Callithrix jacchus: one gene and its partner. The protein of the gene in region 2 interacts with the protein of the main gene of each other region in a pairwise test. Links are inferred from orthologs where the notes say so. Each region holds a gene or a part of one and is shown on either strand. Other genes may lie near its edges.

Region 1 (15,435 bases), about 110 Mb from region 2:
GAACCTAGGAGGTGGAGGTTGCAGTGAGCTGAGATCGTGTCACTGCACTCTAGCCTGGGCAACAGAGCAAGACTCTGTCTCAAAAAACTAAAACTAAAAATAAAATTATAATGAGTTACCTGTATTTGAAAATTATTTCATATAGAAATCTTGGTATCTCTGGCTCTCCTGAAAGGTCAGAAGCCCTGGTCAGGTGGACCTAGGTTCCTAGGTGGCAGCCAGCCCTTTACTCCTTCAGCTCTTCCAGTGCTTATTCAGCCAGCATCACTCATTTACCTGCCCAGCCCCTGTGGGTGTGTGGGTTCATGACTCTAATCTCAGCAAATATTCATAATCCTGAAGGGGCATGCTATTACCTTCATTTCACAGAGGAGGAAACAAAGACACAGAGAAATTAAAGAATCTGTCTGGATTACACAACCTCTAAGTGGTGGGGCTGAGATTCAAACCAGGGTGTGTCCCGCTCCAAGGCCCAGACTCTTCCCACCACTCAGACCTGCTGCTCTGCTGTGCTCCAGGGAGTCACTCCCCACTGTCGGCCTCAGTTTCTTCTTCTGTCAATGGCGAGAATGACTTCTGCACTGTAGAGGACCCCAAGAGGGCCTCCAAGAGGGCAGACAGGCAAGCACTTTGTAAACTCTGGCAAGCCTGTGTGGGGATCCCGGGGTTAGAGACATGACCCTTGGCCTGAGGTAGAAGAAAGAACCCACCTTCTTGGGCAGGAAGTGAACCCCAACAGGGTACTTGTCAGGGTGAGTCCATAGCTCGATCTGCGCCATCACCTGGTTGGTGAAGGAGTTACTCATCACGAAGCTGGGGTGGCCCATGGCACAACCCAGATTGACCAGCCGACCCTCCGCCAGCAGGATGATGCGGTGCCCATTCTTCAGCCGGTACCGGTCCACCTACACGCAAGCAGAGTGACAGTGAGGGCAGGCAGGGCCCTGCTCCTACAGCCCACCCCTGCCACAGCCCACCCTCTGGCCAGGCAGGCTTCCCTGCCTCCAACAGTGCCCATGAGGCGTCTGAACTGCCCCAAAACAACCTCTAGCACATGGCCTGACACAAACAGTAACAGCCGATATTTATTAAGAAACGCTGAGCTGCAGAACACACAGTTCTGCTGTTAGAACTTTATGTGCACTTGTAACATGCTTGGCACATGAGGTACTTAGGAAGCAGCAGCTAATGTTATTGTTCTGATCACTGTCATGTGCCTATACTAAGTCCTTTATAGGGTATTATCACATTTCATCCCGGAAACAAGCCTATGATGTCAGTACTGCTGTCATCCCAATTTCAGACTCAAAAAATGAAGTTTACAAGGGTTAGGTCACTTGTCCAGAGCCACACACTAAGAGGTGGTACAATTTGAGTCTGGACGGTCTGAGGACATATCCCATGTTCTCAATAACCACGGAACAGTTCAATGCAATTTAGTAAAACTTAGTAAAAGCTGCGGTGGGGCGCGGTGGCCTCATGCCTGTAATCTCAGCACTTTGGGAAGTCAAGGCAAATGGTTCATGAGATCAGGAGTTCAAGACCAGCCTGACTAACATGATGAAACCCCGTCTCTACTAAAAATACAAAAATTAGCTGGGTGTGGTGGCATGTGCCTGTAGTCCCAGCTACTCAGGAGGCTGAGGCATGAGAATCGTTTGAACTCAGGAAGCAGAGGTTGCAGTGAGCCGAGATTGTGCCACTGCACTCCAGCCTGGGTAACAGAGCAAGACTCCATCTCAAAAAATAAAAAGCTGAATGCTGTGGCACTCACATTGGAATCACCTCAGAAGCTCTAAAAAATGAGGATACCCTGGCCTCATTCCCAGAGACTCCTATTCGTATAACCCACAGTGTGGCTCCCAGGTGACAGCCAGGTTGAGAACTCTCGGTTTAGTAGATAAGTGAACGTGAAGTGGAAATCCCCGGCCTCAGTGCCCCAGTCCTCCGTCTGTCCCAGCTGTCTGAACACACAAACTGCTTTCTCCCCACTCCCAGCTCTTCCCTTGCCATCCCTCCGCCCTCACACAGCCTCCTGAACATTTCCCCAAAAGCCCAGGTTTCCAAACTGCTTCAGAGGCCTAGTACCAGTCCAAGGAAAGGTCTCTGATGCCCATCAAGCATTGATTAATGCTTCAGCCAATAAGCACTCACTGATACCCATCTAAGCCCCTTGCAGGGACACATCAATCTGGACTCTACCCTCCTGATAAAACAGTCGGGGCAGAGACCAAAGCCAGTGATGGATGCTGCACTAGGGGTCTACAGTAGAGTGTGGGCATTGCCTCTGCCAGAGAAGCTGGCCAGCAAAGGAGTCTCTTTTTATATTTTTTATTTTTATTTTTTGAGACAGAGTTTTGCTCTTGTTACCCAGGCTGGGGTGCAATGGCGCGATCTCGGCTCACCGCAACCTCCGCCTCCTGGGTTCAAGCAATTCTCCTGCCTCAGCCTCCCAAGTAGCTGGGACTATAGGCATGCGCCACCATGCCCAGCTAATTTTTGTATTTTTAGTAGAGACAGGGTTTCACCATGTTGACCACGATGGTCTCAATCTCTTGACCTCGTGATCCACCCGCCTCGGCCTCCCAAAGTGCTGGGATTACAGGCGTGAGCCACTGCGCCCGGCCCTTAATTTTTTTTTTAAATGGAGTCTTACTTTGTCATCCAGGCTGGAGTGCAGTGGCGTGATCTCAGCCCACTGCAACCTCCACCTCCAGGGTTCAAGCTATTATCCTGCCTTAGCCTCTGGAGTAGCTGGGACTACAGGCACCAGCCACCATGCCCGGCTAATTTTTTGTATTTTTAGTAGAGATGGGGCTTCACCATGTTGGCCAGGCTGGTCTCCAACTCCTGACCTCAAGTGATCCACCTCCCTCGGCCTTCCAAAGTGCTGGGATTACAGATGTGAGCCACCATATCTGGCCAGAAGGGGGATCTCTTGAGCTGGGTTAAGAAGATGGATAAAGAAAAGGGCATATGTTCTGTTCCAAACAAACGGAGCTGTCTGGGCAGACGAGCAGAAGCAGGAGCTGCAGTGGGTATTCAGGGAGTGGTCAAATACAGCTGAGTGCAGAGATCCTTGAGAGGACAGATAAGAGATAAAGCTGGGCAGAAAGCTGGCAAGACTGTCAAGGATGTTGAGGGTGGGAAGAGTCCAGCTTTGGAGGGCAGCTTGGCAGAAAGATGCCTATCACCCCAGTATAGCCCTGTGATGCCTTTGCAGGAGGACGTCTGGCTGGCTCTCAGGGGTGTGGCTGCCATGGAAGCATGCCCTGCCCGCCCCCACACTGTGATGAGTGCCAGGCCTTCTAGGCAGAGATGGAGGTGCCCTCTGCATAGCCAGGAATTGACACCCTAGACTAGCGCAGGATCTAGCCAAGGAGAATTCCCACACAGGAGCAGAGGGCCGGAGGGGAGCAGTGTAGGGGATGTGGGTTCACAGAGCTGCCTGTCTGCCTCTCTGGGACTTGGGCTTCTGGTGTGGCTGTGACTGGGTGGGTGTCAGGGCTTTGGCCAATTCTGTGTCTCTATCTTCCATACCATATCTGAAAGACGGCACAGCATCAACTCAAAGAACCTCACATTAAGTGGGCTTTTCTCCCTTTAAAAAATGTGATGGGCCTGGTGCAGCAGCTCACGCCTGTAATCCCAGCACTCTGGGAGGCCAAAGCAGCAAGATCGCTTAAGCTCGGGAGTTTGAGACCAGCTGGGGCAACATAGCAATACCTTGTCTCTACAAAAAATTAGCCAGGTGTAGTAGTGCACACCTATAGTCCCAGGTACTTGGGAGGCTGAGACAGGAGGATCAGCTCCTTCAGCTCAGGAAGTCAAGGCTGCAGTGGGCCATGATTGTGCCACTGCCCTCTAGCTTGGGTGACAGAGTGAGCCCATCTCAAAAAGAAAAAAAAGTGATGAATATCTCTATATATAACACTTACTTAATTATCTCCTGAGGATCAATTACAGGAGAGACTGCGCAGTCAAAGAGTTTGCTTAACTTTTTTTTTCTTTTTTTTGAGACAGAGTCTCGTTCTGATGCCCAAGCTAGAGTACAGTGGTGTGATCTTGGCTCACTGCAACCTCTGCCTCCCGGGTTCAAGCGATTCTCCTGCCTCAGCCTCCTGAGTAGCTGGAACTACAGGCGTGTACCACCACGCCCGGCTAATTTTTGTATTTTTAATAGAGACAGGGTTTGACCATATTGGCCAGGTTGGTCTCAAACTCTTGACCTCAAGTGATCCACCCGCCTCAGCCTCCCAAAGTGCTGGGATTACAAGTGTGAGCTACCACACCAGGCCGTGTTTGCTTAACTTTAAAGCTCTTGATATCCAAAGCCTAAATGTCTTCCAGAAACATATTACTTTTATAATCAGAGAAAAAAATGAATCCACAATAATTACAACTCAAGTAAAATGTCATACCCCCAACAAGAACTCGTCTTCCAGTTTCAGTGCCCCAGTGCAAACCTATTCTTTCCCAGCTCAGTGCATGGGCCTGCTCCTCACACAGTGGTCCAACTCCTGACCTCAGGTGACCCGCCCGCCTCAGCCTCCCAAAGTGCTGGGATTACAGGCATAAGCCACCGTGTCCAGCCCAGCTAATTTCTTTTGTATTTTTAGTAGAGATGGAGTTTCACCATCTTGGCCAGACTGGTCTCAAACTCCTGACCTCAGGTGATCTGCCCGTCTCAGCTTCCCAAGGTGCTGGGATTACAGGTGTGACCCACGATGCCTGGCCAAAGCTGTGTCCTTTGTGACTCTACCTTCATCCTGACCCCACATGCCGTCCATCCATCCCCAGCACTCCCCAAGGCAGCCATCCCCTGCAGAGACTGTAAGAGCCTCCTCCAAAAGCCTCCCTCCCCACCACTCACCATCATTGCTTTCAGTCTGCACAGTAGCTAGAGTGATCTTTCTAAAACTACAGCCTCACCACATACAGCTCACCTGCCTGATACCTTCAGGGATGCCGGCTGCTCTCGAGATAAGGTTGCCATCTCCAGCTGGCTCTACTAGGCCCTCTTCTCCCCATCACACTACACAGGTTGCCACAGTCTCCTCAGCTCCCCTCCCTGGCAGCCAGCACTCCTCTGTGTTCCCATCTGCCCAGCCCGCTGGCAGGATGGGAGCTTCTCACCTGCGGTTTGATGTTCACCTTCTCCACAGCATTCTCGTTGAGCCACTTGACGTCGATCTCCACATCAAAGTGTCCGATGTTACACACGATGGCATCATCCTTCATTTGCTCAAAGTGCCTGTCAGGCAGCCCGAGATCATGGGAGATTGTCAGGGACAAAGAGCAGTCCCAACCCTGCCCTCCTCCCTCACTCCCCAGGACCTCCAAGGGGCACTGACCGGCCAAGGATGATGTCAACACAGCCTGTGGTGGTGACGAAGATATTGCCCTCCTGACAGGCCTCATCCATGGTGGTCACCTCATAGCCTGTGCAGAGACAGTGGCTGAGGGTCATCTACAGCACCCGTGCCCTTCCCTCCGGCCGCAGTGGCTGACAACCAACACTTGCCCTATCCTACCCTCCATGGCGGCCTGCAGTGCATTGATGGGGTCAATCTCGGTGATGATGACGCGGGCCCCGAAACCCCTCAGGGCCTGGGCACAGCCCTTGCCCACATCGCCATAGCCTGCTACCACTGCTACCTTGCCGGCAATCATCACGTCTGTGGCCCGCTTGATGCCATCTATGAGGGACTCCCGGCAGCCATAGAGGTTGTCAAACTTGCTCTGAAAGGAGAGGGAGTAAGGAGACGATGGGGGCCTGCAAGGCCCTGGGGCCAGGACCACTTGACCTCAGAATACTCGGAAGAGCCCAGGCATCGTGCACCCACTGAGCATCCCGGCCTGGGTGGAAACCCTCTAGCAGCCAATACCTCCACACACCCTTCACCCCAATCGGCTCCAAGACGTCTCTCTAATCCTTCTCTACTGGTTTGGAGCCTTCCTAGGGATCAGTTACCAGGAGAGACTGCCTGGTCAAATACTTTGCTTAAGTTGAAAGCTCTTTTTCCCAAAGCCATAAAGCTCCTAACACCCAGCACTGAGACCTCCATCTAAATGCCTTCATTAGCCTTGATCTATAACCACTTTTTTGCCCCCTCAAATGAGGGCCTCATGTCCCTAGCCTCAGCCTTCCTGGACGCTCTTCTTCACAGGCCTCGCATGGAGCTGCAGCCACTGCAGTGGGAGCTGTCACTGCCCCCAGCTCACCTTGGTGACGGAGTCGTTGACGTTGATGGCGGGCACCTTCAGGACCCCAGTGGCCATCATCTTGTAGAGGTTGTGGACCCCGGTCGTGGTCTCCTCAGAGATGCCTCGGATGCCTAAACAAGAGGGAAGAGGACAAGCCTCAGAGACACCTCACCTGAGCGCACACAAATTCCTCATCTTTGCCCCCTAAAGTCATTCCTCTTTCTGGGTTCCCATCTCTGTGACTGATCCCACAGGCCCCCCAGTCACCCAGACCAGCATGAGCAAGGAGTCCCCGACGCCCTCCTAGGGAAAGCCACCGCCAGACTTAGTGACTCTGCCTCCCAACAACTCCCAGCTTCTCCATTCTCACTGCTGCTGCGCTAGGCCCTGACCCTGTCTCCTGCCACGGCATATTCTCCATGCAGCAGCCATGTCTAACATGTGTCTTCTCAGAGAAATCTTCTGAATGCCCTCCAATTATTTCCCGTTGCGCTGAGAATCAAATGCTTTTCTATTGGCCTATTAGGACTGAATACATCTGGCCTTCATGAAAGCTCACACCATATCCCATAATACCCCCCAGTGAAGGCTCCCTTTGTTCACTGCTATCCTGCGGGCCTCTATTCTGTTTCCTGAACATTCTAGCTTTTTCTGCATCCAGGCCTCTGTACTCCCTGTACTCCCCGTACCTGCTTTGAACAAAGCTGGCTCCCTCTCAGCTATTCCCAGCCATGGCCCTGTGTCTGCCCTTGGGCTGTCAGCTCAGCCACCCTTGCCTCGCACTCTGAAGTCAGGAAGCCCCAGCATGAATCCCAGGGCCTGCCATCCTTCCATCTTCTAGATCCTGCTGCTTGAGGCGCTGGGAGTCCTGCCAGGCCTGCGGCCATCATGTGGGCAAGCAGGTCCCATCCAGTACCCAGCCCACCTGCCCCACCCTGCTCACCCGGCAGAAGCTGTGGGTACTTGGTGTGGATGAGGTTAGTGAGGTCGCCTCCATCATCCAGAATCATGTTGAGGGGCCCGTCCTTGAAGTACAGCGTCTGCTCAATGCACCACAGGTACTCCTCATCCGTTTCGCCCTTCCAGGCATACACTGGAGGGTGAATGGCATATTAGGGCTTGGACTTCCCCAGTCTGTACCTGCTCCCGGGAACAACCCTGGCAGAGCCAAAACTACCTCCTTCCCAATTCCCATCCTCAGCCACCTCTGGCCCCTCTGGGGACTCAGCAGTGATAAGAATACAACTTGGAGCCACATAGATCTGGGTTCAAATCCTGGCTCTGCCACTTGCCAGCTGTGTGACCTTGGGCAAATCACTTCACCTCTCTGAGCCTCAGTTTTCTCCTCTATAAATAGGGCTTAAAACAGTATGGATTAAGTGAGACGGAAGCCATGTATAGCCCCCCAGATGTAGATATCAGGAAATAATTATTTCCTTTCCCATCCCCTTCTGCCTGGGCCCCAAGGACTAGGGCATCAACCCTGAGTGACCAGGCCTCCATGCCCCACAATGCCTCCCCCTCAGCTGGATCCCCAAGGCAGGATCCAGGGTTTGCTCTGCACTGAAAGGATTGTAGCACCAGCAGCCTCTGGGATGGGAGGAGTCTCAGGCAAAGTTTGGCCAAAAAATGACTAAGCGCCGCTACCATTTATGGGGCACTTGCTTTCTGCCAGACATGACTCTAAATCCTTCATGCCCCATCTCGCTTATCCTCACACAGACCCTGTGAGGCAGCCAGGACCATTATCACACTTACAGATGCCCAGAGAGGGGCTGAGACGCACTTGGGCCACTCCACATGAAATTCCAGAACAGACACCGGAACTAAGGGGCACTAAGGACTGGGTGGCCAGTCCACACTCCTCCCATGTGACGTGACTAGGGCACAGGTGTGGGGTTCCCAGGAGCCCCTTGTGAGCAAAGGACGCTGGCCAAGCAGAGCCAGCCTCTCCTGCGCAACTGGAGCAGACAATGGTCTTAAAAATTGCAGTGAGCTGAGATCACACTGCTACACTACAGCCTGGGCAAAGGAGCAAGACTCCATCTCAAAACAAAAAAAAAAAAGAAAAGGAAAAACAAAAAGAAAACAAGGCCTTTCCCAGAAGAAAGCCATGGTGAGGAACGGGGATCATGCCTATTCAGCCCTGGTCAGTCTGGGAAGGAGCCCTGTCCCACCCTCTCCTCTCTACCTATGGTCGGTTAGAAGAAATCTTGACTGTCCTCTTTAATCACTGCGTGAGATTAACCACTCCCTCCCTAAGTCCAAGCAGACATGTGCCCAGCCTGTGAAAACTCCTTTCTCATTAGTCTTAGTCCTTCCTCAGTCCTTCAACCGCCATACCCTAAGCAGTGAATCTTTTTCTGCCCTGTAGCCCTCCCCAGTTCTTTAGAAACAGATCCACACCCTTCCTTTAATGAACTTCCCTTCCTCTACATCATGTAATTCCCAATAATAAGATCTTGCCCTTCCTGGTCACATGGCTTGAGTTGGGTCAAAAAACAACTTCCACAGGATTTTAGATGAGGATGGGACAAAGCAGCTCTTTCCTATGGGTGGCTGGGTAGGATTTTGTGGCCGTGACTCCTCTCCCCTGCTGTAGGCTAAGGAAGCCTGTCGCTGTAGCAGTCAGTGAAGCAACAGAGCAGCCCCTTCATAAACCCCACACGTCCCAGCAGTAAGCAGGACTCACCTGGAATGCCAGCCTTGGCGATGGCAGCTGCCGCATGGTCCTGCGTGGAGAATATGTTGCAGCTGGACCACCGCACCTAGAAAGAGCCGTCAGAACAAGGCTGTTGGTCACTGATGGTTCAAAAGCACCAGGAACGCTGGGCAAGGAAAAGGGAGAGCTCTGCAGGTAGGCGGACAGGCTTGGGATCTAGGCACAGCAAGCTCTAGGATCACAGGCTGGGGACACTGGGTGGGTAGATGGGGGCCAGAGCAGTGACGACATCCGACTCAGGTTTTGTTTTTTTATTTTGGGGGGTTTTGGGACAGAGTTTCATTCTTGTTGCCCAGGCTAGAGTGCAATGCGTGATCTCATCTCACTGCAACCTCCAGCTCCAGGGTTTAAGCAATTCTCCTGCCTCAGCCTCCCTAGTAGCTGGGATTACAGGCATGCCCCACCACGCCTGGCTAATTTTTTGTATTTTTAGTAGAGATGGGGTTTCACCGTGTTAGCCAGGATGGTCTTGATCTCCTGACTTCACCATCCACCCACCTTGGCCTCCCAAAGTGCTAGGATTACAGGTGTGAGACACTGCGCCCAGCCCTGACTCAAGTTTTTATGGTGGTGCTGTGTGGAAGGGAAAGGGCGGAAACAAGGGGACAGCTGAAGAGACTGTTGGAGAAGACTCCAGGCAAGAAATATGACAGTAGCAGTAGCAGTGAAGGTGATGAGAAGCTGTTCCATCCTGGGTCTACTCTGAAGGCTGCACTGGCAGGATTTGCTAAGGGATGAATTGTTGAAGTAAAAGGGGTTGGGAGCGGGGAGGAAAGGGTGGGGAAGAGATGATTCCCAGATTCTTGAACTGAGGGAACCTAGAAGGCTGGAGTGAAAATTCCATTTATTCACATAGGGAAGCCTTTGGGAAGAGGAGGGGCAGACAATCCTGAGTCTGTTTGAACGTGTGCTGCCTGAGGTGAGTACTAGACCGCCAGGTAGTGTCAACACCCCCACTCCTGGATATGCCAGTCCCGAGCTCCAGGAGAAGTCCAGGCTAGTACAAAAATATGGGAGTCAAAACCAGATAGACAGTATCTAAAGCTCTGCAATCAGACCAAGAGTGAATGCTGAAAGGAAAGGTCCAAGGACTGAGCCCTGAGTCCCTCTGTGGGTTTTGGCTGCAATGCCCTTCCCTGCTTTGGGAAACCAGCTTGCTTCTTTACTCTCTGAGACCTTAGGAGACATGTCAATCATTGGCACACATGACCTGGGCTGAAAATCAGAGCTGCCATCATCCCGGCAGCCATGATGGGCCAGGGCAGGTCTGTGACCCCCAGGAGGGCCAAGGCAAGCAAGCCCTTATAGGACTAAATGGGACACGGGAGTTGAGTTCTTCCTGCCAGAGCATCAAGCATGAGGATGCCTTGAGGGCAGCCAACAATTATCTTCCAGCCAGGAAGAAAATGTGCACAACACCCACCACAAAGGATGGCAAGAACTCTGGGGTGATACAGCTGTGGGCCTCACCTCAGCACCCAGGGCGACCAGGGTCTCAATGAGGACGGCCGTCTCCACCGTCATGTGCAGGCAGCCGGCGATGCGGGCGCCCATCAGCGGCTTGGAAGTCGAGTACCGCTCACGCATGCGCATCAGGCCCGGCATCTCGTTCTCCGCAATGTTCAGGGCCTTGCGTCCCCAGTCAGCCAGGCCGATGTCAGCTACCGAGGGAAACAGGTGGGAGTTGGGTAAGCCTCCTCGGCCGTCACTGTGTGGACCCCGGTCCACTTGTGGACTCAATACACTAGGGCTTAGCACTCTGTCACCGCATTCTCTAAATCATTCAACAAGTATTTATGAATCCAGAGGACTCAAGAAAGACAAGGTCCCTGCCTCCCTGCACCTTTCTGACTTGTGGGAAAACACATGTAATCAATCACACAGGGACACAAAAATGACAACACAAAGCAAACAGCTCAGATGATACTGCCCACTACCCTCCTTTCTGCTGACAGCCACCAACCTCCAGGTCACTCCTCACTCCCTAAATAGGTTAGCTGCTGGGTCTCCATCTTCCTCTCTGTCATCACTCTCGGTGATTCAACACTTATAAATACTATCTAACACCTTGGATTTGACAGTTCCTTGATCTCCTTTTAGATGTGAAAATGCTTCCCCACTCCTGATGTTTCTTTCCACCTGGAGGAACTCACCGGGTATAACTAACACTCTTGGCCTCTCTGCCCCAGTGGGGGTGGGGTGAGCTTGTCTGACCAGTAAAACTGAGAGGAATAAATGGTGTGCTCAGTTTAGCCCTCTCTTCTTTTTGCAAGCAAGTACCCACCTGCCCACCTGCAGGAAGCCGCTGTTCTCTGCTTTTCCAGAGATCAACCTACCCTGGCCCACCCTGCCTGCAACTAACTGGTTGGGTAACTGCTGAATCTGGGAGTTCAGTCAGCAGAATCATTTGGATTTCATACTAATCTACATTCTCTGGCCTTGAGGTTATTAGAAATAAAAGGTGTATTTTGGGTGCTGTCTGCCACCTAAAATGTCTCAAATTTGTTCAAATATCAGGCAGTAAAGAAGGGTACTATTATGAGCTAACTCACTGTCTCAATTCTCTTCCCTCTGTTCATCTCACCTTCCTCTCTCCCCTACCACATTCCAAGGTCACACCCAACCTAGGTTGGTCCCTAGATCAAAGTTTGCAGACTTCCCTAATAAGGGATGTTCCTTTGGCATACTTGTAAATCTCCCCTGGAAAATTGGATTCAGCAGGTCTAAGACTCACGATGATTTTTATCTTTAGGGAAGCTTAGATTCTGCCAATCACCCAAAGAGGTAGACGATGAGAGGCAAAGGACTCTGTAGAGAATTTAATAATCAATAAAACTGTCTAAGTCAGTCAGCTGCCTACAGTGCATTGAAACAATTTCAGAGATGAAACACGCCTCTCCCATGAGAGAACACTCCTGTTGTGCCTCAACTCAAGCCCTTCTCTATACCACCCTGCCCCAGGCCTCCTACCCTGGTAGGCCATCACCAATGATAGCACTCCTTGGAAATCTGGACTAAAGCACCCAACTCTAGCCACATCTCCTCTTTCCAGTTTTCTCCCTCTAGAGCCCCAGCTCCAACAAGGCTGTGGCCTGTCAGGTCAGAACTTCTATTCCACTCATCCTACCAATTTCTACTGTCCCTTCTGCCTTCTGCCCTCTTTCCCTTTGAGAACTCACTTGGCAAAACTCTCAGCCCAATTAAACCTGACCCTCCACTGCACTGGAGCCACTGAACCCAGCAGGAGGGCAATCACAACCACACCAAGATATCACATTGATTCATTCATTCATTTATAGAAGTCTGGCTCCACAGCCCAGGCTGGAGTGTAGTGGTACAATCTCGATTCACTGCAACCTCCACCTCCTGGGTCCCAGTTCAGGCAATTCTCCTGCCTCAGCCTCCCTAGCTGGGATTACGGGAACTCGCCACCATGCTTGGCTAGTTTTTGTATTTTTAGTAGAGACGGGGTTTCACCTTGTTGGTCAGACTGGTCTCGAACTCCTGACCTTGTGATCTGCCCACCTCAGCCTCCAAAAAGTGCTGGGATTACAGGTGTGAGCCACTGTGCCTGGCCAAGACATCACATTTATTAAAACCCTAAAAGACACGGCCCGGAATGGTGGCCCAGGCTTGTAATCCCAGCACTTTTTGGAGGCTGAGGAGAGCAGCACGAGGTCAGGAGTTTGAGACCAGTCTGACCAACAAGGGGAAATCCCATCTCTACTAAAAATACAAAAACTAGCCAAGCGTGGTGACACGCACCTGCAATCCCAGCTACTTGTAATCCCACTTACTTTTCCTCCTTCCAGAAACCCTTTCTTTACTTGGCTTCTGCTACTCTGTCCTCCTGTGCTTTTCCACCTACCTTCCTGGTTCCTCTGCAGATAACAGACTCTAATATTAGTTTGGGAGCCCTCAGGGCTCCATCATCTCCTGCTTCTCTAATGCTTACCAATTAAGCTCATCCAGTCTTACAGCCTTACATGCCTTCTCTGCAGCGTTCCCACGTACTTACCTTCAGTCCAAACCACTCCCCTGAACTTGAGACTCAATTTGATCCAACTGCTTCTACAGCACCTCCACCTGGATGTCCAACTGGACTTTTTCGTGTCATGCTTGAGCCCTCATGACTCCTTGCCCTGCTACTCCTTCTCTCCCAATCTTCCCATTTTAGGAAATAAAACCACCATTCAACCAGCTACTCTGGCCAATAACTTAAGATTTGATTCCTCTTTTCCTCTTCCACCTCAATTAGCACGTTTTTGGCTCAACAAGCAAAATATATAAGCAATCCAACTGCATCTCACCACCTTCATCCAAACTGTCACTTCTTAGGCCAGTCATGGTGGATGACACCTGTAATCCCAGCACTTTGGAAGGCCAAGGCAAGCAATCACTTGAGGTCAGGAGTTCGAGACCAGCCTGGCCAACGTGCTGAAACCCCATCTCTACCAAAAATACAAAAAAACTAGCCAGGCATGGTGGCTCGCACCTGTAATCCCAGCTACTTGGGAGGCAGAGGCAGGAGAATCGCTTGAACCCAGGAGGCAGAGGTTGTTGCGGTGAATGGAGATCGAGCCACTACACTCCAGCCTGAATGACAGAGCAAAACTCCGTCTCAAAAAAAAAAAAAGAAAAGAAAACAAACAGAGAATGCACCAGGATGACTCAAATAGAGGGGGTAAGATGAGTCGGGACTTCAGTCCCAGCAAAGTAGGGAGCCTACAGTTTTTAGGGAGCCAGCATTCAGAGACCAGGTTTGTCTTTTGAAAAGACCCCACTGGCTGCTGCGTGGATCTCTGCAGCAAGAGATCCAGGGATGTCCGCAAGGAGACAGACCAGAACTGGGTGACTATGGAGACAGAGGGGTGCCAGCTCTGCTCACACAAGATGGAGGCCGCGCTACTTCATCTGTATGTATGCCTGTGCCACCCCTATCCTCGGGTCACCTATGTGTTTCCAGCACGGCCTCACGCTGCAGACACAACTGTTTACTGATCATGTGTCCTCAGAACTGAATGAAAGACCCATGAGAGGGGCTGGCACGTGACAGGGGTGGCAAAGACAAACAACATAAATCTGAACCTAGTCCAAGTCCCAGCATTTACTAATGAGGAAGGAACTCAGACTGCAGAGAGGAGTCTGCCACAGGTTCCATAGCCAATTAGTGACCGAAGCATAACTGGCAGCCAGGTAGGGCTAGAGCAGAGGCCCCTCTCAAGGCCTTCCTGGGAGGGGCCAGGCTATATGGGAAAATGGGTTATGCCCTGTGCTGCTATGCTCCACCCCTCCACCACTACATGTCCCTCCAGCTAAAAATAGCTCCTTCAGTGCCCTCAAGGACATTGTGCCAGCCCCACAGTTTTCTGTGGGACCCTCAACTCCAAGGGCACAGGAGAGGCTAGATGCTCCAATCTCTGGAGCTAAGGACTTGCAGAAGTCACAGGAACAACTGTCCCCAGGAGAAGCCAAGAGGAACAGCAAGAACCCCTCCAAACATCAGTTTCTTCATCTGTAAAATGAGGATAATCATCCCTAGCTTACCATGTGCCCTAAGTAAAGAAGATGCCATATGATCAAGATCTGGCACACAGCAGGGCCTCCTTCCTCCAGCCTCATCCTGCTAAGCTCCCCCTCTCCCAAATCCAGCTTTATCTCCATCTACACAACCCAGTGCCCCCAATCCTGACCCACTAATCTCTCCACAGTATGACAAGCCCTATTCCAGCTCTACTACTATGACCTTGACATAACCTTTCTGGGTTCAGTTTCATCATCCACACAATGGAGACAGTCTACTCTTGTAGCAACTTAAACTATTTCAACAGAATCTTTGCAAGTCATTTCCCAAGGGTCTGTTTCAAGCTCTATATAACGGGATAGCGTCCACCTCTATGAAGATTATTCTGTAAATACATATAAATCACCGGATATACAGCAAGTGTCCCATAAATGTGGATGCCATTCTCCAGACTTAATAGTGGTTGTGTGTGTGTGTGTGTGTGTGTGTGTGTGTGTTTTGTTGTTGGTTTTGTTTTTGAGATGGAATCTTGCTCTGTCACCCAGGCTGGAGTGCAGTGGCATCTCTGCTCACTGTAACCTCCACCTCCTGGGTTCAAGCGATTCTCCTGCCTCAGCCTCCTGATTAGCTGCAGTTATAGGCATGCGCCACCACACCTGGCTAATTTTGTTATTTTTTAATAGAGATGGAGTTTCACCATGTTGGTCAGGCTGGTCTCACACTCCTGACCTCAGATAATCCGCCCGCCTCAGCCTCCTGGCTGGAGTGCAGTGGGGCAATCTCTGCTCACTGCAACCTCCGTCTCCCACGTTCAAACGATTCTCCTGCCTCAGCCTTCCGAGTAGCTGGGATTGCAGGCACCTGCCACCACACCCAGCTAATTTTTGCATTTTTAGTAGACAGGATTTCGAGACCACCACATTGGCCAGGCTGGTCTCGAACTCTTGATCTCAAGGTGGCCCACCTCCACCTCCCCAAAGTG
Region 2 (16,100 bases):
GATCAGGAAGGTGGGGACGTCTCCCTTAGATTCCTGACCCCTGGAAAACCCCTTATGGGGAGAAGACAAGAGTGTAGGGTCATCTCCTCTATGCTCAGGTCATGGCAAGAGACGAGAAGGAGTCCCTGATGCAGCCACGATTATGAGCAGGGAGTCCACAAGGCAAGCAGTAGGGGAGGCTATGGGTTACAGAAGTCTTACCTAATGGCAGAGTGGCTCCCTGGTCTGGCTTCAGGTGGAGGAGTCAGTTTCCCCCAGGAGGGGTCTTACAACTCCTCCCAGGTTTCAGCACCACTTGTAAGGGTTATTGCTGAGTTTAAAATGAGGAAACTGAGGCCAGTATAAGAACAATTAAATTCCAATTTATTCAGCTCTCCAGCGAGGTTCTATGGTCCAGGAAAGGAGGGCTGAGAAGTTGCACTGACTTCCTGAGGCATAGGGTTTTTATAGCTATAGCGAGCAAGGAGGAGCAGCATGCTCCGATTGGTTATGGGGGAGTGGGACATAGACAGGGCAAGCTGCTATTGGTAGGTAGATTGTTGGGCGGGATTTCCCTAACGCAAGATCCGGCTTGGGTTACATTAACCGGATCCTTCCTGGAGAGCATGTGCTCCTGAGATAGGTTCTGGGTGCAGAGATGTGAAGTAGGTTCCGGGCACAGAGATAGGTGGATGTGTTCGAGCTCCTGGTGAGGCAACCGGCCTTACAACTGCATTCCAGCCTGGGTGATAAAGTGAGAACCTATCCCCAGGAAAAAAAAAGTCTCCAATGTTAGAGCGTATGGCTCCCCATTATCTCCACTCTAAGATTCAATCACCACAAGGTGGTCCATGCTCTGACCTGCTTTCTCCACCTTCATCTGCTACTGCTTCCAGTGAGGAGGGAGACCCAGGCATTTGGGATTTCCTCCCCCTCTGTCATCCACTGTGCATCTCAATAAAAGAGAGAGCAGGCCAGCTGGCGCCTCCTGAATATCCTTCCTGAAAACAACAGGCTAGGCCTTGGGGAAACTCTCCAGAAGGCACTATTTTTACTTAAAACAAAATCAAACCAGAAACCTTTTCACATGTGAGTCCTAAAACTGTAAACTGGAACCCTTTCATATGTGATTCCTGAAACTGTAAACAGAGACCTTTTCACATGTGAGTCCTAAAACTATGAACCTAAAATTCTTCCACGTGTAACATCTAAAGTATAAGCCTATATAGAGGCTAAACCTCCCTTTGTTAAACAAGCTTGGCTGTTAGGCACCTATGCCACCTTGCTCCCAGCTGAAATAAGTTCCTTCTTCCTGTATTCGGTGTCCGAGAGATTCTTTCCCGCTGCCGCTCCTGCTACACCAGTACTCAGTAGACCCTTGCTTCCTGCATTTCACCATGTATGTTGCTCCAGGCATGGCATGCTCTTCCCCCACTCCAGTAGCAAGCAACATCTACTCATCTTTTTTTTTTTTTGAAGACAGAGTCTCGCTCAGCTATCCAGGCTGGACTGCAGTGGTGAGATCTTGGCTCACTGCAACCTCCACCTCCTGGATTCAAGCAATTCTCCTGTCTCAGCCTCCCGAGTAGCTGGGATTACAGGCACCCACCATCATGACTGGCTAATTTTTGTATTTTTAGTAGAGATGGGGTTTCACCATGTCAGCCAGGCTGGTCTTGAACTCCTGACCTCAGGTGATCTGCCCACCTTGGCCTCCCAAGGTGCTAGGATTACAGGCATGAGCCACTGTGCCTGGCCTACTCATCTTTTTTTTTAGAGACGGAGGCTCACTCCTGCCTCGGCCTCCTGAGCAGCAGGGGTTAGAGACATGAGCCCTACTCGTTTTTCAGCTTACAGCCCGGGTTTCAGCAGCTCTACAATGCCAACCTGGATCCTGGCCCTCCACCTGCTACACACCGATCACCCTCTTCTTTGTACCATAGTTTCACCTTAAGTGTCCTCGCACATTTTTGGGTTTGTCACACAATATTGCAAATATTAATCTCTTCCCTTAGAATGAAAGGGTTTTTTTTTTTTTTTTTTTTTAGATCAGGTGCCATTTCTTATTCATCTTTGTATTCTCAGATTCTAGCACAGCATATAACATGTAGGAGGTAGCTCATGGTCACTCCTAACCTCATTATAATAATGTGCTTACGTCTGAATGTTTGTGTCCTCAAAGTTCATATGTTGGGCTGGGTGTGGGCTCACACTTGTAATCCCAACACTTTGGGAGGCTGAGGTGGGTGGATTGCTTGAACCCAAGAGGCAGAGGTTGCACTGAGCCATAATCTCGCCACTGCACACCACCCTGGGTGACAGAACAAGATCCTGTCTCAAAAAAAAAAAAAATTCCTATGTTGAAATTCTAACCTCCAAGGTGATGATATTAAGAGGCAGGACCTTTGGGATGTGATTAGATCATGAAGGCAGAGACCTTAGGAATGGGATTAGTGCCATTCATAAATGAGGCCCGAGAGAGCTCCTTTGCCCCTTCTGCCATGCCATGTGAGGAAAAAGTGAAAAGCTGGCAGTCTGCAACCCAGAAGAGGGCCCTCGACAGAACCTGACCACGCTGGCACCCTGATCTTGGAATTTCAGCTTCCAGAATTGTGAGAAATAAATTTCAGTTGTTTATAAGCCAACCAGGTTGTGGTATTTTGTTATAGCGGCCCAAATGCACTATGAAAGTCTGGGGTCTACCCCAGTGCATAGTTTCACTGCAACTTTCTTCTCCGACGGCACCAGCAAGCTCATTATGGTTAAACCCATTTTCTGTGTTTCAGCCCTTTCTTGCCCTTTCTGCAGCACTTGACCCTGTGGATCATTCCCTGGTCTCCAAACCCTCCCACTCCTTTGCTTTTCCTCCTGCTCTTCTGTGAATAGTGCTCCTCTTTAGTCTTGTTTGAGAATTTCTTCTCTTCTGTCCATCATTAAAATGTTGACTACAGATGCTCCTCAACTTAAAAAGGGGTTACATCCCAATACATCCATCATAGGTTGAAAATGCATTTAATGGCCAGGCGCAGTGGCTCATGCCTATAATCCCAGCACTTTGGGAGGCCGAGGCGGGTAGATCATGAGGTCAAGAGATAGAGACCATCCTGGTCAACAAGGTGAAACCCCATCTCTACTAAAAATACAAAAATTAGTTGGGCATGGTGGCACACACCTGTAGTCCCAGCTACTCGGGAGGCTGAGGCAGGAGAATTGCTTGAATCCAGGAGGCGGAGGTTGCGGTGAGCCGAGATCGTGCCATTGCACTCCAGCCTGGGTAACAAGAGCGAAACTCTGCCTCAAAACAAACAAACAAACAAAAATGCATTTAATATACCTAGCCTATGGATACGGTTTGGCGCTGTGTCTCTACCCAAATCTCATCTCAAATTGGAATCCCAAGGTGTCCAGGGATGAACCTGCTGGGAGGTGATTGGTTATGGGAGCGGTTTTCCCCATGCTGTTCTTGGGATAGTGAGTGAGTTCTCACGACATCTGATAGTTTAAAACTGTGGCACTTCCCCTTCGCTCTCTCGATCTCTCTCCTGCCACCCTGTGAAGGAGGTGCTTGCTTCTTCTTTGCCTTTGCCAAGATTGTAGGTTTTCTGAGGCATCCCCAGCAATGTGGAACTGTGAGCCAATTAAACCTCTTTATAAATTACCGAGTCTTGGGTAGTTCTTTTTTTTTTTTTTTTTTTTTTTAGACAAAGTCTTGCTCTGTCACCCAGGCTGGAGTGCAGTGGCACAGTCTAGGCTCATTGCAACCTTTGCCTCCCAGGTTTAAGTGATTCTTGTGCCTCAACCTCCCAAGAGTAGCTAGAATTATAGGCTTGCACCGCCACACCCAGCTAAGTTTTGTATTTTTTTACTTTTCTTTTTTTTTTTTTTTGTTTGCACACAGAAAACAATTTGGTTCCAATGCATAATTTTTGTATTTTTTAGTAGAGACAGGTTTTCTCCATGTTGGCCAGGCTAGTCCCGAATTCCTGGCCTTGGCGTCTCAAAGTGCTGGGATTACAGGCATGAGCCACTGTGCCCAGTCATTTTTATAGCGTGTGAATATGCCTATCAAACGTCGTAACTTAGTCTAGCCTCAAATGTGCCGAGAACACTTACATTAGCCTCCAGTTGGGCAAAATCATCTAACACGAAGCCCATTTTATAATAAAGTGTTGAATATCTCTTATAATGTATTGAATACCGTACTGCAAATGAAACAGAATAGTCATTTGGGTACTTGAAGTAAGGTTTCTACTGAATGTGTATCACTTTTGCACCATTGTAAAGTAAAAAATCCTAACTGGAACCATCATAAGTTTGGAACCATCTGTCTTCTTCAGCCTTTGGCGGTCTTCTTTTTAAATATTATTTACTTACTTATTTTAAGACAGGGTCTCGCTATGTTGTCCAGGCTAGTCTGGAACTCCTGGGCTCAAGGGATCCTTCTGCCTCAGCTTCTTGAGTAGCTGGGATTAACAGGAACAAACCACCATGGCTGGCTGTCTTCTCTCTCTCTTTTTGATACAGTCTTGCTCTGTTGCCTAGGCTGGAGTACAGTGGCATGATCTCAACTCACTGCAACCTCTACCTCCCAGGTTCCAGTGATTCTCCTGCCTCCGCCTACTGACTAGCTGGGATTATAGCTATAATTATAATGGGTACACCACCACACCCATATAATTTTTGTATTTTTAGTTAGAGGTATGGTTTCACCATATTGGTCAGGCTGGTCTCGAACTCCTGACCTCAGGTGATCCACCCACCTTGGCTTCCCAAAGTGCTGGGATTACAAGCGTGAGCCACCATGCCTGGCAGCAGTCTTCGCTCAGCACTCACAGACTCTCTTGGGGATCTCTTTTCTATTCCCATGACTTCAGCTAGCACCTTTTGCTGACTGCAAAAATGCAATTCACCAGCCCAGATCTCCTTTCTAAATGCAATACCCATGGACATAACTATTTACTGGACATCTCCATTTAAATGAAATTCAGAAAAGAAAGCACAGGCTCAGCAGTTGAACTTGAGTTCAAACTTGCTCCATCACAAACTACAATATATATAGCATTGGGCAAATTTTTGTTTGTTTGTTTGTTTGTTTTGAGATGGAGTTTCACTCTTGTTGCCCAGGCTGGAGTACAATGCCATGATCTCAGTTCATGAACCTCCGCCTTCTAGGTTCAAGCAACTCTGCTGTCTGAGCCTCTCAAGAAGCTGGGATTACAGGCATGCGCCAACACGCTCAGCTAATTTTGTATTTTTAGTAGAGATGGGGTTTCTCTGCATTGGTCAGGCTGGTCTCAAACTCAGGACCTCAGGTGATCCACCTGCTTTGGCCTCCCAAAATGCTGAGTCATGAGTCATCATGCCCAGCCTTTTTTTTTTTTTTTTTGAGATAGGGTCTCATTCTGTTGCCCAGACTAGAGTGCAATGGCGTGATCTTGGCTCACTGCAACCTACACCTCCTGGGATCAAGCAATTCCCCTGACTCAGCCTCCTGAGTCAGCACCCGCCATCACACCCAGCTAATTTTTGTATTTTTAGCAGAGATGGTGTTTCTCCATGTTGACTAGGCTGGTCTTGAGCTCCTGACCTCAGGTGATCCACCTGCCTCAGCCTCCCAAAGTGCTGGGATTACTAAGTGTGAGACACCATGCCTGGCCAGCATTGGGGCAAGTTAATTACCTCTCTGAGCCTCACATAATAATGATGGTCCTGTCTTACCGAGGAGTTGTTGTGAGGATTAAATGAGATAATTCGCATACAGCACTTCCTGCAGTGCCTGGCAATGAATTGAGAGTAGCAGATAGTAAAGAGTAGTAGTAATTAAAAGGGCCTCAGAAAGCTCAAGTCAACAGATTCAAAAGTGAATTCATGACCAAACCTCAAACCTTCTCTTCGTCCTTTGTCCCAAATCTCAATAAATCGCACCACCAGGCTGGGCACGGTGGCTCACGCCTGCAATCCCAGCATTTTGGGAAGCAGAGATGGGTGGATCACCTGAGGTCAGGAGTTCGAGACCAGCCTGGCCAACATGGTGACACCCCATCTCTATTTAAAAAAAAAAAAAAAGAAGAAAGAAAAAAAAAATTAAATCTCACTACCATCTAATCAGCCAGAAACCTGAATGTTATCCTTGTTTCTTGATCACCACCGCCCTCCCATTCTGCCAGGTTAAGTTTCTCTAATGTAAACCTTGTAGTAACCCACCTATGATCCAATGAATGTTTAAGATGTCTAGGCTTTGCACACATCCATTCATTCAATCCATAGAACAATCCTGCAAGGTGGGTGCTACTATTATTCCTATTTCGCAGATGCAGAATTCAAGGCATGGAAAGTTGAGTAATTCATCCAAGATTATATGAGTGGCAAAGCTGGCATACAAACTCAGGCAGTCTGTCATCCATCTCCCGTGCTAACTACTACTATGCCACATTGTTTCTATTGTAATGCATTGCATGTTATATTGTTTGCCTTGTCTCCTCTGATAAACTGTTCTTTGAAATCAAGAACTGTGATTCATTCGAAGTAGCAACATCAGTGACTAGAACAGTGACTGGCTAACAGTACATGCTTAATATGTTCAGTGAGTTAGGTAGTACCCTAGAGACAAGACAAAGGAGAGATAAATGGAAGTAGTAATAGAACAGCCAGCAGGTTACATTCGGTTATATCAAGGATCAGAGGTTTCGTTTGTGGATAAAGTTTTTTTTTTTTTTTTTATCTGAAGATAATAAACAGAAGATTGAAATCAGAGTAAGTAGAGGTTGAATTTAAGAAGATCTACTAATATTCATGGGTACAACAGTTATGTAGGGTATGCACTATAATCCTTTTAAGGAAAGGACGTATAATCCTTTCAAGGAAGTTGACAACCTCATAAAGAGAACTCAGAGACCATGGGGTGCAGTCAGGAACAACTTCTTTCTTTTTTTTTTTTTTTTGAGATGGTGTCTTGCTCTTGTTGCCCAGGCTAGAGTGCAATGGTGCGATCTCAGCTTACTGAAACCTCCGCCTCCTGGGTTCAAGCAATTCTCTTGCCTCAGCCTCCCAAGTAGCTGGGATTACAGGCACGTGCCACTCTTGCCCAGCCACTTTTTGTATTTTTAGTAGAGATGGGGTTTCTCCATGTTGGTCAGGTTGGTCTCAAACTCCTGACCTCAGGTGATCCGCCCACCTTGGCCTCCCAGAGTGCTGGGATTAACAATTTTTTTTATCTGCATTAAAACAAAAAACAGCAAAAACAGGCTGGTGCAATAACTCACACCTGTAATTCCAGCACTTTGGGAGGCCAAGGCTAGCAGATCACGTGAGGTCAGGAGTTCAAGACCAGCCTGGCCAACATGGTGATATCTCGTCTCTACTAAAAATACAAAGATTAGCCGGGCGTAGTGGCACATGCCTGTAATCCCAGCTGGTCGGGAGGCTGAGGCAGGAGACTTGCTTGAACCTGGGAGGCGGAGGTTGCAGGTGGAGATCGCACCACTGTACTCCAGCCTGGGCAACAGAGTGAGACTCCGTCTCAACAAACAAACAAACAAGCCACTGCCTACTCCCACGTCACTCAAATTGTGAAGGGCTCAATTCCAGTGCCATACACATCAGCTTCAGTTGGAGTATCATGTTGGATGTAAGAATTAAAATTTAAATTGGGGGAACAAATGCGAGCTCAAGCAGGGTTACAATTTGCCTTGGGGGTCAATTTAAGTATGTAGTCAGTTTATATTCATCACCACCTGCTGTGCACTGCGTACTGTGTGAATTACTGAATATACTAAATAGACATTGGTTTTTCTTAAACTGTAGCAAGAAAAATGCTTGCTGTGCAGATCCTAGCAGCTCCAAGAGACAGAAATGAAAACTCCATGCCTAAATTTATCCCTTCCTATTTCATCTCTTTGTCCAGGCCTTCTTCCCTTCCACCCCAGGGCTATTTCCTTAATCCTGACCCCATCTGCAAAGTTCCATCCTGTGCTACATTGGAGCATCTCTTCGGGCCACCTGGACCCAGCAAAACAAGATTTCCTTTTTCTCCCACTGGGTATAAAACAGTGCCAACTGAGGCTCTGAGCCTCATTAGATAGATTGGGCAAGAAGTCAGGCAAAATGTTGTTTACATGTACACATCAGCTCTTCCGTGAGCACTTGGAATCAGGACCAGGACACCTCCAAAGCCTCTTTGGTGTTTTTCCTTTCATTTTCCTTATATGGCCTTCAGGAAGAGTAACTGATTACAATCTGTAAGCAGTAATTACAGATCATAAACTGTGAGCACAATAAAAATATTTTTCCTGAAAGCCAGGTTAGGAGAAACCCTGCCTAAAATGAGATGTAAAACAACAATTGAAATAAATATTCGAACTGAATTGTCCCCAAGCACTGTCAAAAAGAAGAAAGAACAGTGTAATCTATCTCTGTAATAATGGGCGTATTATAGTAGGATCGTTTTAAGCTCATTTCCCCATGCTGCTGGGCAAGAATCGACTCAGATAAGGAAAAGTAGCCAACCAAACGAGGGAAAAAAGAACAACAAAAACCCCCCACATCCCATCAAAAAGAACCCACCAATTATTTTGGATGCCTGGCAAACAACCTGCACCAGAGGATAAGGCTTTTCGGGCTCTCAACTACGCTTTTTTCTCTTTTCATGTGTCTGTCCTCCTCCCTTGAAACTGCGGGATGGGGAGGTCTAAAAATAGCCAGTGAGTCACGGCAGATAATATTGTGCAGTAGTTACATAAACAGCCAGCCCGGGCGCCGGGGCCCGGGGTCGGAACGGAAAATATCTGGGTCAGGGTTGTCACACTGAATAGGGTCCCCCGGAGCCGGCCTTCGGGAGGTGCGGCCGGGGAGGAGGTCTAGGCCTGCAGGCCCGGAGCAGCAGGGGCGGCCAGCGGGAGGGAGCGGAAGTCCCTGGACGGGCGCGGGCGGCGGCGCGAACTGGGCGGGCGAGCTCCGCGCTCCCTCCCCATGGCCGGGAGCGGACCGCGGCGACGGCGGCGGCGCTGATAGGCCCCGGGCGGGGCGGGGCAGGCGGGCCCGGGCGGGGGCCTGGGGCCGAGGGAAAGATGAGCGCCCTCCTAGAGCAGAAGGAGCAGCAGGAGAGGCTGCGGGAGGCCGCGGCCTTAGGGGACATTCGGGAGGTGCAGAAACTGGTGGAAAGCGGGGTGGATGTGAACTCCCAAAATGAGGTCAACGGCTGGTAAGTGGGGAGCGGGGGAGGCCTAGCGTCAGGGCAGCCGGTCCGAGGCGTGGGGCAGTCAGCCGCGACCTGGGCCCAGCGCTGCCTCTGGACGCCGGGCTATGGCGACACCTGCCACCTCGGGCCTCCGAGATTGTGCCCTCTTGAGGCCAGCCCTGGCCCCCATGCCTCGTGCGGTCAGGAGCGCGTCCTGCCCAAATCCCGGCCCACGTGGTCCACTCGGAGCAGCGCCCACTGGGACCCTGTCGCCCTACCCGCTTCCCCCTGGCCCCCTGGGTCACTTAGTCAGAGCAGTGCTGGAGGCTATGATTCTCAGCTACTGTGCGCTGGAGCTCACCCCAATTTGAGTGTTGAGTTAATTTGCCGTAGGTGCTTCCGAAGAACACATCTTGCAGAGCTAAAAGCATAAGCAACTGAGCATATACGAATTTTATAAACTAGCACGATTTCCTTAGCCAAGACCAGGGAAAAAAAAGAAACATTTGCATCACCATTCTGCTTCTCCATTGTTTCAGTCCAACCGATTTGCTGCTGCTGCCTACAGTTGCCTGTTTGAGGGAAGGCTCATTTGTTTATCCTATTAAGTATTTTGCTTTCTTTCTTTTTCTTCTCTTTTTTTTTTTTTTTTTTGAGACAGGGTCTTGCTCTGTCGCCTAGGTTGGAGTGCAGTGGAACAATCTTGGCTCACTGCAACTTCCACCTCCCCGGCTCAGGTGATCCTCCTGCCTCAGCCTCCCAAGTAGCTGGGAATACTGGCGAGTGCCACCAGCTAATTTTTTTTTTGTTGTTGTAATTTTAGTAGGGATGGGGCCAGGTTGGTCTCAAACTCCTGGACTCAAGTGATCCGCCCACCTTGACCTCCCAGAGTGCTGGGATTACACGTGTGAGCTTACCATACCCAGCCTCTTCTTGTTACAATTTCAAATACAACATGTCATCCAAGGCTTTAGATGTCTGCCTGCAGATTGAATTCTCCCCAGTTAAATAAGGAGTCTCATTATAAGATATTGTTGGTGGTCAAAACTTACTGAGTGTGGTATTATTCCACACTCTGCATTTAAAAGTTAAAATTTTATTTGATTCAAGTAATGCTTAGCCAGACTATTTTGCTAACTTAAAGTGAGTTTACTTTTTTTTTTTTTAAGTGGAATCATCCATTTTGGAACTGAAAGGAACAGTGCAGATAAGCTCAATCCCAGAGAATAACTTGCCCTAGGTGACATCCCTATTAATATGACAGAACCAGAACAAAACTCTCTCAAAAGTCTTATCTACCTGAGCGGAGTGTGGTGGCTCTTGCCTGTAATCCCAGCACTTTGGGAGACTGAGGCAGGTGGATCACAAGATCAGGAGATGGAGACTATCCTAGCCAAGGTGGTGATACCCCAAATCTACTAAAAATACAAAAATTAGCTGGGTGTGGTGGCATGTGCCTGTAATCCCAGCTACTTGGGAGGCTGAGGCAGGAGAACCACTTTGAACCCAGGAGTTGGAGCTTGGAGTGAGGCAAGATCTCGCCACTGCACTCCAGTCTGGCGACAGAGCAAGACTCTGTCTCAAAAAAAAAAAAAAAGTCTGTCTACCTGGTGGGACCTGGTGACTCACGCCTGTTATCCCAGCACTTTGGGAGGCTAAGACAGGAGGATCACTGGAGCCCAGAAGTTTGAGACCAGTCTGGGGAACATAGCAAGACCACAGTCTCCAAAAAAAAAAAAAAATCTGTCTACCTAATTTTCCTAAAGAAAACAGCCTGGACAGCTGTCCAGAAAGCCAGGAAACAGTGGATACAAGCTTTTCTGTTTACAGTTTCCAGGTCTTTGCAGACTTGCTGTTGTGTATGTACCTTTTCTGTGCATTGCTCTGGTTCAAAGCTGTGAATTACCATTTTGGCACTGGGAGGCAGTGTTGTGTAGAAGGAGCCTAGTCTTCCCTGCAGGTTCTTCTCCATTCCTGCCTAGCTATGAGGCTTTGCCCAAGTTGCTTCATTTTCTACTTATTCCAGAAGAGTGTTGTCAGCATTTAATGAGATGAAACATAAAATAAATAGCTAACATTTATTGAACTTGCTTTGTAGCAGAGATGGTGTTCTAAGTGATGTACGTGTGTTAGCTCGTTCACAACTGCTTGGGGACATAGTTACTGTTCTCTCCATTTACAGATGAAAAAACTGAGGCCCAGAAAGATTAAGTCATTTCTTCACTTTGCACAATGCTCCTTCTCAAGATCATAGGATTGACAGTAACTAGTGGAGCCAGAAAAAGAACCTGGCATCTGACTCCAGACTCTACCCTCCTAAACACAATGTCTGCCCCATAGCAGGTGTTTCGTAAATATAATGTGAAGCTGAGGTAGCCTGAAGAGGCTTCGTGTGTGTGTGTGTATTTATTTTTATTTTTTTGAGACAGTTTTGCTCTTGTTGCCCAAGCTGGAGTGCAATGGTACAATCTCAGCTTACAGCAACCTCCACCTCCCAGGTTCAAGCAGTTCTGCGTCAGCCTCTCGAGTAGCTGGAATTAGAGCCGTGCACCACCATGCCTGGCTAATTTTTTGTATTTTTAGTAGAAACGGGGTTTCACCATGTTAGCCAGCCTGGTCTCGAACTCCTTACCTCTGGTGATCTGCCCACCTTGGCCTCCCAAAGTGCTGGGATTATAAGCATGAGCCACTGCCTCGGCCTCTTATAGATTTAATTGGGGGAAGTGTCTAATAGGCTCCTCAAACTCAACATGTCCAAGATTGAATTCCAAGTTTCCCCTCATCCCTCTACCACCTCAAGTGTGCTCCTGAGTCCTCTTCAGCCTCTCAGGGGTACTCAGGCCAGAACCCTTGGCGCTCTGCTTGCCTTCTGTCTTTCATAGCTGATATCCAGTCAGCCAATGCTGTGAGTTCCACCTTCAGATACAGTCAGAATCTGATTACTTCTTACTACAGCTCTGGTTCAAAGCCACCATTGTTTGTCACCTCAATTATTGCAGTAGCCTTCTAACTAGTCTCCTTGCTCCTAAGCTTATATCGTAGTCTTCTTAATTAACACAATGGCCAGAGGGATCCTGACTTAAAACATAAGTCAGATCATTTCACTCTGCTCAAAAATGGCTCCTGTATCACTCAGTAGAAGCCTACAAGGTCCTACAATTTGTACTCCCTGTCCCCACATCTTCCCTCCTTACCTGTGTGCTCATCTCATGGGATTTGCCCTTCTGCTTACCTTTTTCCCCTGGGCTCCTTGCTTTCCCAGGAATACGAGACACAGTCCTGCTTCAAGATGTTTGCATTTTATCTTCTTACTCTCCTAAATGCTTTCCCTCCAGATGTCACATGGTTTGCTCCCTCATGGCCTTTAGATTTTAGTTTAGATGTCACCTTCTTGGCAAGGCTTTTCCTGGCCCTTCAGTTTAAAATTGCACAATGCCCTTCTCCAACCTCTCGCATTCCCTAACGCCTTTCCCTGCTTTACTGTCGCTGTCACACTTCATCACCTAGCGTACTGCATGTTTTGCTTATTTATTTGCTGATAACTGTTTCCTCTTCTGTAAAATGGGGGAAATGCTGAATATAGTATTTACTTCATGGGTTGTTTAGAGGATTAAATTAGTTAATACATGTAATGCCTTTAGAACAGTGTCCAACATGTAAAGCATTATACCTGTGTTAGCTATTGTTGTTATTATGAAGCAATGTGCTGGGTAATGGAATATAAGGTTACTTCCAAAAAACTTACACTCTTGCATTGAAAAGCAGAATGGTGACTGCTTTCAATTCTCAGTTGCTCAGTAACCATAATTTCAGCACCAAGCAGTGATGCCCAGTTGATGAATGACACCCAGTGCCTCAGGTCTGAAATAGTTTCCGACACTAATAAGATATTCTGACTGCAAATGTAAAGCTTAAGGAGTTGAAGTTCAAAGATAGAGTAATTTATCAATTAGATTGATTACTAATCATTCTGCCACATCAGTTGTAAATCAAGTGTCATATATGACCCTTGATTTTAAGGACCAAGGATAATGCTTCATGAAGAACTTGAAAATATTACCTGGCTGCTGCGGCTCTGAGTTATGGCTGCCCAGAGTCACAGAGCTCTGGATTGTAAATGATGATCACTAAGGTACAGGGCTGTGGGGGCCATGCCATGGTGACTTACCAGTGCTTTACATGGTGATAGTTTAGCAAGTTGGTTTGTCCCAGAGTCTCTCAGACCCACTGGCAGTAAATTACTTCCTTTACTCTCAAGCCATGACCAAGTGATCTACTACTACCAAGTGGGCATTTTATTTCCAAAAGGGAGCATATTTTTCGCATCCTGCTTCATTCATCCTCCTTCAACCATTTTAATTGTTTACTTTTTAAGCCTGTGCGACAGACATCCACACACAAACACTCTCAGTTGCAGTTTGCCCAGAATCAAAGATAGATTGGATTCTTCTACTTCAAGCAAGGTCCACCTTATCCTTAGTTTACTTATGCAGTAATTTTTTTTTTTTTGAGATGGAGTCTTGCTCTGTTGCCTAGGCTGGAGTGCAGTGGTGCAATCTCAGCTCACTGTAACCTCTGCCTCCTGGGTTCAAGCAGTTCTCCTGCCTTAGCCTCCTAATTAGCTGGAATTACAGATGTGCACCATCACGCTAATTTTTGTATTATTAGTAGAGACAGGTTTCACCCTGTCGGCCAGGCTGGTCTCGAACTCCTGACCTCAAGTTATCCACCTGCCTTGGCCTCCCAAAGTGTTGGGATTACAGGCATGAGCCACTGTGCCTGGCCCGTTCAGGAAATATTAAGCATGTATATGTGCCAAGCAAATACATCCTTGCCTTCAGGAAGACTCTTCTCTCCCAAACTTAAAAATATTCTTATTTTTCCCAAATTAGCAATAATTGTGTCATTGCATCATGGAGTACACCTTAAAGGAACCTGGATAATCTAATTCTAATGAACCATAGTGTAGAATGTCACTCTGAGACATTAATGGAATTACTCCCAGCCAGCCAGACCTGCTAACTTTCTGGAAGTTGCTAATGTTAAGCCATTAGTAAGTAAGCAAATCAGCTTTTTCCTGGACCCATATAAACTTTCCAGATAATTATACTTCCCAGGTTAGTGACCTAACCTTCACTACTGAACATATGTTCTAATCTTCATTTCTGTATTTGGCTGTAAGAGCTCTGAAGATATTTATCTCAGTTCAATTATAGATTTGGTAAAAGAAGACATTTCAAAACACAGGGGGAAAAGTATTTTCATTCCATAATATGCATTCAGCTTTGGCACCTAGGGATGGATTTAGTCGCTCTGAATCTTTCATTTCTGTGAAGATGGAGTTTTTGCTGGCGTGCTAATTATGTTTCTGTGCAGTATTAAAATAGTAGCCCTTCAGTGTGTGCAGAATTGCTTCCTCTGTGTACAATATTGAGTGATTAGTTTTACTTAAATGAGTTTGATATATTAGAGCCTGTTGAAGAATTTTGGTTGTTGATGTATGTTTTTAAGTACCTTAGGAATTAAAGTATCTGTGCAGTGCCTTATGTTTACGCAGATGAGGATATGTTTGTAGCCTTCTGGAGAGAACTAGAGAAGCCGGCTTTTTAAAAATGGAAATTTGGAAATCTTTTGTGTGTGTTAAGTAAAGAAAAGGAGGAAAAAGAAAGTGAGCAACTGGGATTCAGACAGGAATATCTGCTGTCGTAATAATAACTTAAGTGACAGAGCAAGCTGCAGATGGGAGATGGTTATTAGCCTGATCATATTGAACCTTCAGGTGGCATATGAAGTGAGTTTCCATAGTCCCTGAAAAGGAATATAGCAATATAAAAATGTGTTTCAAAGAGACTGAGATGATCTAATGAGCGATATTGATAGAGTAATACTCCACAGTATCACTGGAGTTAGCCAGCCAGTGAGCTTCCCTTCTGGAGGCCATTGAAATGAAAACTCCTAGGATAAGTTAGTTTTTCTCAGGGGCCAGAAATGAAATTTAAAAACAAAATATAAGCATATTAAATATTTTGATCATCTGCTTTCTGAAAAGTTGAGATTACCAGCCCGGTTACCTGGTTCTAGCTGAACTCTTAACAGGCTTATATATGTTATTTACTAATGTTTCGAATGTGAAATCCCAAATCACCTCTCCTCTTTTTAAATCATTCTTTTCTTTGGGACAGGACTTGTTTACATTGGGCATGCAAACGCAACCATGGTCAGGTAGTCTCTTACCTGCTAAAATCAGGAGCTGACAAAGAAATTCTTACCACAAAAGGAGAAATGCCGGTTCAGTTAACGTCAAGGAGAGAAATCAGGAAGATTATGGGAGGTGAGTCTGTTTTGGGGGAGCTTTTGATTTCGTCAGACTTATTTAAGACTTGTGATATTATTGGCTGCATTCTTTTTTTTTGAGACGGAGTTTCGCTGTTGTTACCCAGACTGGAGTGCAATGGCACGATCTCGGCTCACCGCAACCTCCGCCTCCTGGGTTCAAGCAATTCTCCTGCCTCAGCCTCCCGAGTAGCTGGGACTACAGGCGTGCACCACCATGCCCAGCTAATTTTTGTATTTTTAGTAGAGATGGGGTTTCACCTCGACCAGGATGGTCTCGATCTCTTGACCTTGTGATCCACCTGCCTTGGCCTCCCAAAGTGCTGGGATTATAGGCGTGAGCCACCGCGCTGGGCCTATTGGCTGCATTCTTAATGCTGGTCAAGCAATTGTTCTATTTCTAAAAGCAAATTACTGTGCCAAGATAGTAATTCCAGGTTGTTTCTGGGGAGGTCAGCATTGTAAGGTTTTTTTAATTATTTGTAAAATTTAAGATAATGAGAAAAATGATAATCATAAACCTAATGAAATATTTTTTTCTTCTGACCTCAAGAGGCGATAAACACTGACCAAAATACTTGTCACATACCAAAAGACACTACTTCCAAAAGAC

The links.
Region 1: the proteins of ANKRD40 (region 2) and AHCY interact in binary tests that used the Homo sapiens proteins (3 or more experiments, as listed by UniProt). The two-hybrid records come from large-scale screens. The link is inferred for Callithrix jacchus from reciprocal best matches to the Homo sapiens genes ANKRD40 and AHCY.

The regions. Positions count from the first base shown.
Region 1 is NC_133506.1:4,996,596-5,012,030, reverse strand, and holds part of AHCY (adenosylhomocysteinase), read right to left. Parts: intron 12,022-15,435; exon of another isoform or gene 12,011-12,021; intron 10,591-12,010; coding exon 10,400-10,590; intron 8,976-10,399; coding exon 8,900-8,975; intron 7,301-8,899; coding exon 7,151-7,300; intron 6,727-7,150; exon of another isoform or gene 6,339-6,726; coding exon 6,226-6,338; exon of another isoform or gene 6,171-6,225; intron 5,743-6,170; coding exon 5,535-5,742; intron 5,443-5,534; coding exon 5,355-5,442; intron 5,255-5,354; coding exon 5,137-5,254; intron 906-5,136; coding exon 711-905; intron 1-710. UniProt on the Homo sapiens protein: Catalyzes the hydrolysis of S-adenosyl-L-homocysteine to form adenosine and homocysteine. Binds copper ions.
Region 2 is NC_133506.1:115,634,479-115,650,578, forward strand, and holds the start of ANKRD40 (ankyrin repeat domain-containing protein 40), read left to right. Parts: upstream 1-8,783; 5' UTR 8,784-9,044; coding exon 9,045-9,178; intron 9,179-15,336; coding exon 15,337-15,485; intron 15,486-16,100.